Nothobranchius furzeri: one gene and its partner. The protein of the gene in region 2 interacts with the protein of the main gene of each other region in a pairwise test. Links are inferred from orthologs where the notes say so. Each region holds a gene or a part of one and is shown on either strand. Other genes may lie near its edges.

Region 1 (3,929 bases), on a different chromosome or scaffold from region 2:
TGGATTCAAATTTTTTTTTCTAGAATGGTTCGTTTGAAATAAGTCTGAAAACACGTTTCAGAGACTGGCTTTTACTTTGAAAGCGTTCATAAGCACTATTTCCGTAAAGCTTTGGAAGTGTGTGCAGTGTAAAAACCGAGTGAGAGCTCACTGTACTGTCGAGTTGAGGCAGGCTCTGCCGCAATGACATAATCTGGTGAGCATGAGAAACCTCTTCCTTTTCTCCATTTTTCCTTTTGTGTACTGGCTCCTGTTCATGAGTCACGTTTAATTATTTGTTGTTTTTCAGTCCTTTACATCCTTTTCGCAAAAATGTACATCATTTTTAAAGCTTTGTGCGTTTTCAAAGCTGACATACCAATAAATTTCGATTGTGTATGCTTAATGACAATGCAAAAGGATCTAATTCTGACATTAACTTTTTTTTAATGTCTTTAAAAATTTCATCCCAGTGCAACAGGATTTATATGCTAGATGAGAAAGATAAATGTTTTTACTTATGTCAGCAACTTCAAAATCCTTTTTATGGCATTTTAATTTATTTGCTGAATGTATGACAGCATTTTAAAAAACATCTGCAAGGCAAATGACCTTAATGAGGACATAAACAACTGAACAGAGAAGCAGATGACCATGATTATTACAACTTCCAGGAAATTACAGTTAAACAAGAAAACTAAAAGGAACATTATGAAAAGTTCAGTTTTCCACCTAAATTCCTTGACTTGAGCTAGTTTTCATTTCTTCTTCAGTGCTGCAGAAATAACAGGGCACTGCTGTCCCTGTCCATCCTCAAAGCATTATGAGACCAGAACTCCTGCTCCACTTTTGGATCCTCCTCCTTCATTGTCTTGCGAGTTTGCTGCCGACTGGCCCTGCGCCTCTCCTTCACCCTCTCCAACCAGCCGGATATTGTAACGTTCTCTGTACTCTGTGAGCTCCTGTCCTTTTGCCTGCATCTGTGTGTTGATGGTCTCGATTATTTTGGAAATCTATTAGAACAGAGGAAGATGGATGAGAAATCAGACAAACGAAACATCCTGCAGTTGACACCTAAACGTTTATTTTTGACTTCAAAACCTATAAACAAAACTCTTTCTTGTGAAATTATGTAGATTAACTCGATGTACACTTATTGTTATTTTGGTGTTAAATAAGTGATTTAAAATGTCTCAGTTTATTCTCCTGATCATTCCTGTGACCGAAATAAATAACATTACCTTTTCTTTGTTGTTTTCTAAGGCTGGTAGAACTTCTTTTACTGTCCTTTCCACCAACACTCCTCCAACCAGACGAAAGCATTTCCTGGAAGGATCCACTTCCTTTAGGGTCTCAATTACTAAACTAAATATGAAAAGAAATAGCAAAGGTATTAAACGGTCTGTCTTTTGGATTGTTTCCCCTACAAAATCTTGTGAAACATTTGTGTCTAGAACATAAATGTAGATGATGCTCCACCAACCTGTGCTCGTTGACATCCATCTCCAGCTCAGCAGCTTTCGAAGCCATACTACGCTGCTCCTGACGCATCCTCTGAAATGTTGCTACCACCTGAAAACAAATGGAATTTGATCATTTTTTTATTAAGTATAATAAATAAATAAAAAACAGATGCTGCTACTCCTTAGTTGTCTACTGAAACCAAACTCTTAAAGTCATAACTGGTAATTAGCATATTACAATTTTGTTTAAAAGATTATTAAATAAATGTACATAATGCAGCAACTCATTAATGGTAAAGGTTTAATTTTATTATCAGATTTAATCTACAACTTTTTAGAAGTAGTGGACATAAACTTTGTTTATTTGATGGTTTTAATCACCATTTACGCAGAGTCATAGACTTTATATGTAAGAAAATAACAAAAAGGTTATGATACAATATGGCAATATTTACATTTTATTATTATTTTTGTAAAACCTGATCAATAAAGGTTTTGACACATATTTGAAGGTATTGCTCGACTCTAATGTTGCCATTATTGTTGTTAAAGGATATATTACGGACTACAGTGCACTGTATTACAGACATTACAGCAGTGATTTGTTTAATATGGTCTGAGTAATAATTTATTAGGGTTAGGTGGACAAAAATAGCTTTATGCTTAGTCACACCAAACCAAACACATTATTTCAAAACCGTAAATACATAGACTAACGTAAAAATTGTTAGAAGTAAGAGTTTGATGTAAACTCTCATAATGTCCTTATTAGACTCCTAACGGTTCCCGATGTCCAAATTTGGGTTTTGAGCCAGATGATCGCGACAGGAATGCTAATGTTAGCTTAGACTAGCTAGGGGCTATACTTTTAGTTCTGCTTTACCAAACTGAGCCAAACAACAACAGAAATAATTGTAACGACAAATGAAACCTTTTTATATAATTGAGAGTACCTGTTCAGCTGAAAGTCCGGACTGTTTTCCGCCGGCGCTGCTGCTGGACTTGCTACCCGTGCTGCTACCGTTCGCTGCCATCTTGGAAGGGTGTTGCCAATTAGGACCCTGCAGCTATCTAATGAGATTGCCTGAGTGCAAATGCGGCTTGTAAAACATCTAAATTACTTTGCAACCATCTTTTACTTTTTCATGTAAAAACTCAGAAGCAGAACCGCAAACAAAATACAACTTAATTCAACATAAAATAAAATGGCATTTGAAGGAATAATTTCTATTAACTTCCATCAACTTTGTATTGTTTTTGTTTTTTCGTGCATACGCTTTTTTATTTTATGTTTATGTTTATTTATTTGGCAGAGGCTTTTATCCAAAGTGACTTGCAATTTATAACGTATGGGGCATGTTTTGATCTGTGGGGGAAACAGGAGTACCCGGAGGAAACCCACGCATGAATGGGGAGAACACGCAACACGCAGAAAGGCCGCAGCCGAGTTTCGAACCTGCAACCTTCGTGCTGCGAGGCAACAGTGCTAACAACTGCGCCACCATGCAGCCCATTTTCCGAATCTAGCTTATTTATTAAAGCAGTTTCTGCATCGTGGAGTTTTAGACGTGTTTTTTCTCTTTCAAATATTCTTTATTTCAGCCAAAGGACATATTAATCATTAAATTAATTAATTTGCACACCGCCAAGACAAGACAAGACAGCTTTATTTGTATAGCACATTTCCTATACAAAGGTAACTTAATGTGCTTTACAGCAGCCTATAGGTAACATCAAAAGCAAAACAAAAATGAACAAAAATAACAAAAGTTTTCATGTTAGACAATAATCAGAAGCACACCGTACATAAATTAAAATCAATAATTAAAAACAAATGAAGAAATACATGTAAATTTTTAATACAAAAATACACTTAAATGCATTTATCGACATTTTTTTATTTTTATAATTCAAACGCTGTAAAGGACTGCTGAAAGCGGATTAACCTCATACAGACCTCTAGATTTTTATTTGCTCTGGGGTTTTCAGAAGATTGAACACATTAAATGTGTTGTTTGAATTTGTTTTCAAAAGCAACAATGCATGGTTTAGTGCACCTGAACTTAAATTTATTAATGTAAAACTTTGCCATAATAATCAGAATGATTACGAAAAGAGTTGTAATTGAGAAACACACAATATTATTGTCAATATGTCTTCAAAGTTGACTGAAATGCGACGTATACGTGCTGTTTATATCTTATTAGTGAACTAGACCAAACGTTTGCTTTGCAAAATAATATATTTATTCAGTCTGGTTTAAGGGTATTTTTGATAGTTATTTATAAACCTGTGTTATATTTGAATGATTATGATGCATTTATAATACTTTAAAAACAATTTTAGGAGTATAAAAACATTGCCAACTCAAAAACTATTCCACATCCTAAAACAATGGACTTTTCATTACATTTAAAGTTTTATTTTATTTTATTTATTTATTTTTGTTTTTTTGTTATTACCACATATTGTTATAAAAAGTCTCCA
Region 2 (3,929 bases):
CGTGAACTTTCTGTTGTGCAAATGTCGTCCTCCTGTGGCTGTTTGGTGGCACTACATCTGGTTAGCAATGGCTTCACAAATTTTTCCATTAGTTGCTAAAAAATGAAGAAAACGGAACATCTGTGATATGAAAGGAATCAAAATAAAAAACATGACTCAGTAAAAGTATAGATATGCAGCTCATGTTTGAAAGGTTTTGTGTTTTATGACTCAAGTTGATTAAATTTGGTTGTTTTAAAATATCACAAATCAATTTGTATATTTAAATATATACATATTAAACATAGATAAGCAGGTTTTCTTAAGGATTGAAAAAAAATTGTGTTCTAATGAAAAAGACCCAGTTCATCTACCTGGTGTGAAAATGATGACATTGACGGTGTATCTTTCTTTTTTTTAGATCACAGATGCTCGAACAAAAATTATGATTTTATTCAATTACTTCGATAGAAGGAATTTTCATTTAAATAAAATGTAGCAATTAACACATATTAATTATGACCAATAAGATGTGATATTCCATACAAATATGAAATATCAATCTGATTGATCTTTGAATGTTTAATCAGAAGATTCTAGGGTCCTTTGCTTATTCAGGGACCAAAAACACACCTCGTATAAATTCAGAGTCAGTGTATAGTTTATAAAATGAATTTTATTATTGCATTCATTATTAGGGGAATATTTCATATAAACTCCCATAAACAGAATATGTTGCCACCAAGTCAAATTACCGATTACAAATAACTGTATATTAAAAGTTTATTTAGACAAAAAAAAGTTAAAAACAACTGCATTTGTTGTTATTTTTGTGAATTTGGTTGACTTTTATTTTTATTTAATAACTTAAACATTTACTGCTACATCAAAATGCATTACTTATTTTTGAAACAAAAATGTGTATCCTTTAAAAATAAAACGTCTGTAAAAGGATGAAAGAGATGGCCATAGAGGTACATTTCTTTCCGGTTGCGTCATGGACAAATTTACATTTGTCCACATGGGGGCGGTAATGAGACCGTATTCCATCGTATTAGGCGGAAGCAGAACTGCGTCAGTGCAGGTTGGTCATCACGCTTTCAACATGGCGGTGAATCTTTCAGACCTCTCCATGCCTCAGTTAGAAGGATTAAAAACCCAACTGGATCAGGTATTATCATCAGTAACATGCTGTATTGGAAGTATTTGTATTTATGTAGCTAAATGCACGAGGTATTGTTAAATAGGAGACCGATGCGGGCTAAACACCCCCGTTAGCGTTCTGTGCCGTAGACAACCGGTGGTGTTGCTAACGGTGTTTCTGTCCCGGGTTGAATCTTTTTGTACATTTTGATGTTTCTTTCAGGAGGTTGAGTTCTTGACGTCTTCGATAAGTCAGTTGAAAGTTGTCCAGGCCAAGTATGTTGACGCGAAAGACAGCTTGAATGTACTGAACCAAAACAATAAAGGTGCGTTTTTAAATCACAATCTGACACAAACTGTTGGCTCCCGAAATGTTTATCCATACCTCTCACAAGAACTACTACTATAAAAGAATGACATTTAAAACAATCGGTACGATTATGATTTTTCATTGTGGTCTGGTGATATGTAGAGTTTAAAAAGTAATTCAATTCAGTTTAATAATACTTTATTAATCCCAGAGGGAAATTAGAGTTTCAGTACACACAATTCTGAGATCAGACATACATACATACATACATGACAAGAATTGGTCGCACAAGAGGGTTTATATGAGGAGATATGCACACAGACTTCAGACATTACACAACATAAGTGTCCACTAGGTGGGGAGGTAGGGTTGGGACTTTCCTCAGGTGCGTGCAGCCGCATGGGGGACAGAGGAGGGACATTAATGGGTTGGAGAGCACAGTGACTCCTAGAAATGGTTCCTTCACTGTGCCTTCACCTGTCAGTCCCGCCCAGGCTGGGAGAGGGAGAAAGAGTTGCCTATTTATTTGGATTGTGACCCATTTCTTTTCTCACAAACAGGAAAGGAATTGCTGGTGCCTCTTACAAGCTCTGTATCCTTTTTAAATTATCCAACATTCATTTTATTTAACCACTGGCATAAAATACATATATGAAACATCCAGGTGAAAGGAGCTGTAAGGTTTTGTCCATCGTTGTGTTATTTACTATCTTCCATCTACTTTCGGTTTCTTTTTTCTAACTTGAAACAGTTCTTCAGCAACACGTTGTTTAACATCTTTACACATTAAAATCATACATTTATTCACACAACTTAGCATCTTAGTGAAGGTGGATTCTTTTAGCATGTTTGTCCTTTACAGTTTTCTCTTCAGATGTATGTCCCTGGAACATTAAGTGATGTGGAACATGTCCTAGTTGACGTGGGGACAGGATATTATGTTGAAAAGGTAATATATATTTAGATATATATTATAAATAAATAAAACAGATTTTAATTAAGAAGAAGCTATTTAAACATGCGTGTTTGCTTCTTTAGAACGTGGAGGACTCAAAAGCTTTCTTTAAGCGCAAAATAGACTTTCTCACAAAGCAGATGGAGAAAATTCAGCCGGCTCTTCAGGAAAAGCATGCTGTGAAACAAGGTAAGGTTAATTGTGTGAATTTGACATTTAAAATCTTTTTTTTTCAGCATTTATAGATGTTCTGCAATCTGTTAGCTCTTTGATTATGTATTGGGAATTAATTGCTGTCAACTACTAACATTTTAATTGATCTCAATAGCTGTAAACCGACTGAGTTATATAGTCAGTTTTGTGTTTGCTATTGTTTATTAGCTGTGGTGTCAGTTGAATCAGAATGTTAAACAGTTTGAGACACATGTACGTTGATTATGTTTTATGAATTCTGTGAAGATCTGATTGTTTAAGAATTTGCGAACAGATGTGAAAACACATGTTTGATAAAAGATAAAAGGGTCAGTGTGTAGTTTTTAATCGTTAATCTCTGGAAATATCCTTCAAAATTAAGCTATTTATAAAACCAGATAACGTATATAATTTCAGATACAAACGTAACTTTAGGCATACATATTTTAGAACAACATTAAAGTCATTTTGTATTTCTGTTACGGGTGTAAGAGTTTGGAATAAGCTAAGTGGGGATCTAAAGCAAAGTCCCTCATTGCATACGTTTAAAGATAAGTATAAAACAATTATACTAACTAATCACATGGAGGAGGAGGAAAAGTTGTAAGGGTGCTGCATTTGATTGTAATTGTCTATGAACTGGGAGCTGTGAATATGGGGGGGGGGGGGGGGGGGAAACATAAAAAATGTAAATTTTGCTTGTGTGATTGAGGATAAAACATGTTATAAGAAAATGGCTATGACAGTGTAGGGAAGAGAATTTTTTTGTTTTTATCTTCCTTGAAATTTGATTTTGGGAGGGGGGGGGGGGGTGATTATACAAGCTACCAGAGCTTTTTTCCCTTCCTATTGAACATGTTTCTATATATATATATATATATATATATGCATATACATATGTATGGGTTCCTTTTTGAATACTTTAATTTGTCTATTGATTTACATGTTCAATAAAGAAAGAAATGAAAAAATGTTGACAATGACAAAGTAAATGATACCCAGTAGTTGATTAATATTGGTGGCTTCTCAACATATAACCATATAAATCTGGGGCCGGGCCTAAGTCTCTGGGCGACACCATATTAGATGCCATGTTTCCTTCTACGGGAGCCCTTAAGGACAAAATGCAATTACTGATTTGTAATAAACGATTACAAAATTTTCACCATTCATAAACATTGTTTTACACATTTACCTCTTCACTAGTTTCCAGTGATGAAAGGGAGGCTGATCTGCCTGTTATTTTGCTGAAATTTGCCCTCTCTAGCGCTTTTTGACTCTTAATGGGCACCTGTTGCAAGGTCTTTCTCCAACACAAAAATACAGCTTGCTTGCAACAATTTAGGTATC

What was found.
Region 1: the proteins of pfdn5 (region 2) and pfdn2 interact in binary tests that used the Homo sapiens proteins (3 or more experiments, as listed by UniProt). The link is inferred for Nothobranchius furzeri from reciprocal best matches to the Homo sapiens genes PFDN5 and PFDN2.

Annotation. Positions count from the first base shown.
Region 1 is NC_091742.1:74,820,973-74,824,901, reverse strand, and holds pfdn2 (prefoldin subunit 2), read right to left. Parts: upstream 2,699-3,929; 5' UTR 2,477-2,698; coding exon 2,396-2,476; intron 1,552-2,395; coding exon 1,463-1,551; intron 1,345-1,462; coding exon 1,221-1,344; intron 993-1,220; coding exon 801-992; 3' UTR 518-800; downstream 1-517. UniProt on the Homo sapiens protein: Binds specifically to cytosolic chaperonin (c-CPN) and transfers target proteins to it. Binds to nascent polypeptide chain and promotes folding in an environment in which there are many competing pathways for nonnative proteins.
Region 2 is NC_091743.1:50,185,716-50,189,644, reverse strand, and holds the start of pfdn5 (prefoldin subunit 5), read left to right. Parts: upstream 1-961; 5' UTR 962-976; coding exon 977-1,150; intron 1,151-1,345; coding exon 1,346-1,448; intron 1,449-1,992; coding exon 1,993-2,024; intron 2,025-2,306; coding exon 2,307-2,381; intron 2,382-2,470; coding exon 2,471-2,576; intron 2,577-3,929. UniProt on the Homo sapiens protein: Binds specifically to cytosolic chaperonin (c-CPN) and transfers target proteins to it. Binds to nascent polypeptide chain and promotes folding in an environment in which there are many competing pathways for nonnative proteins.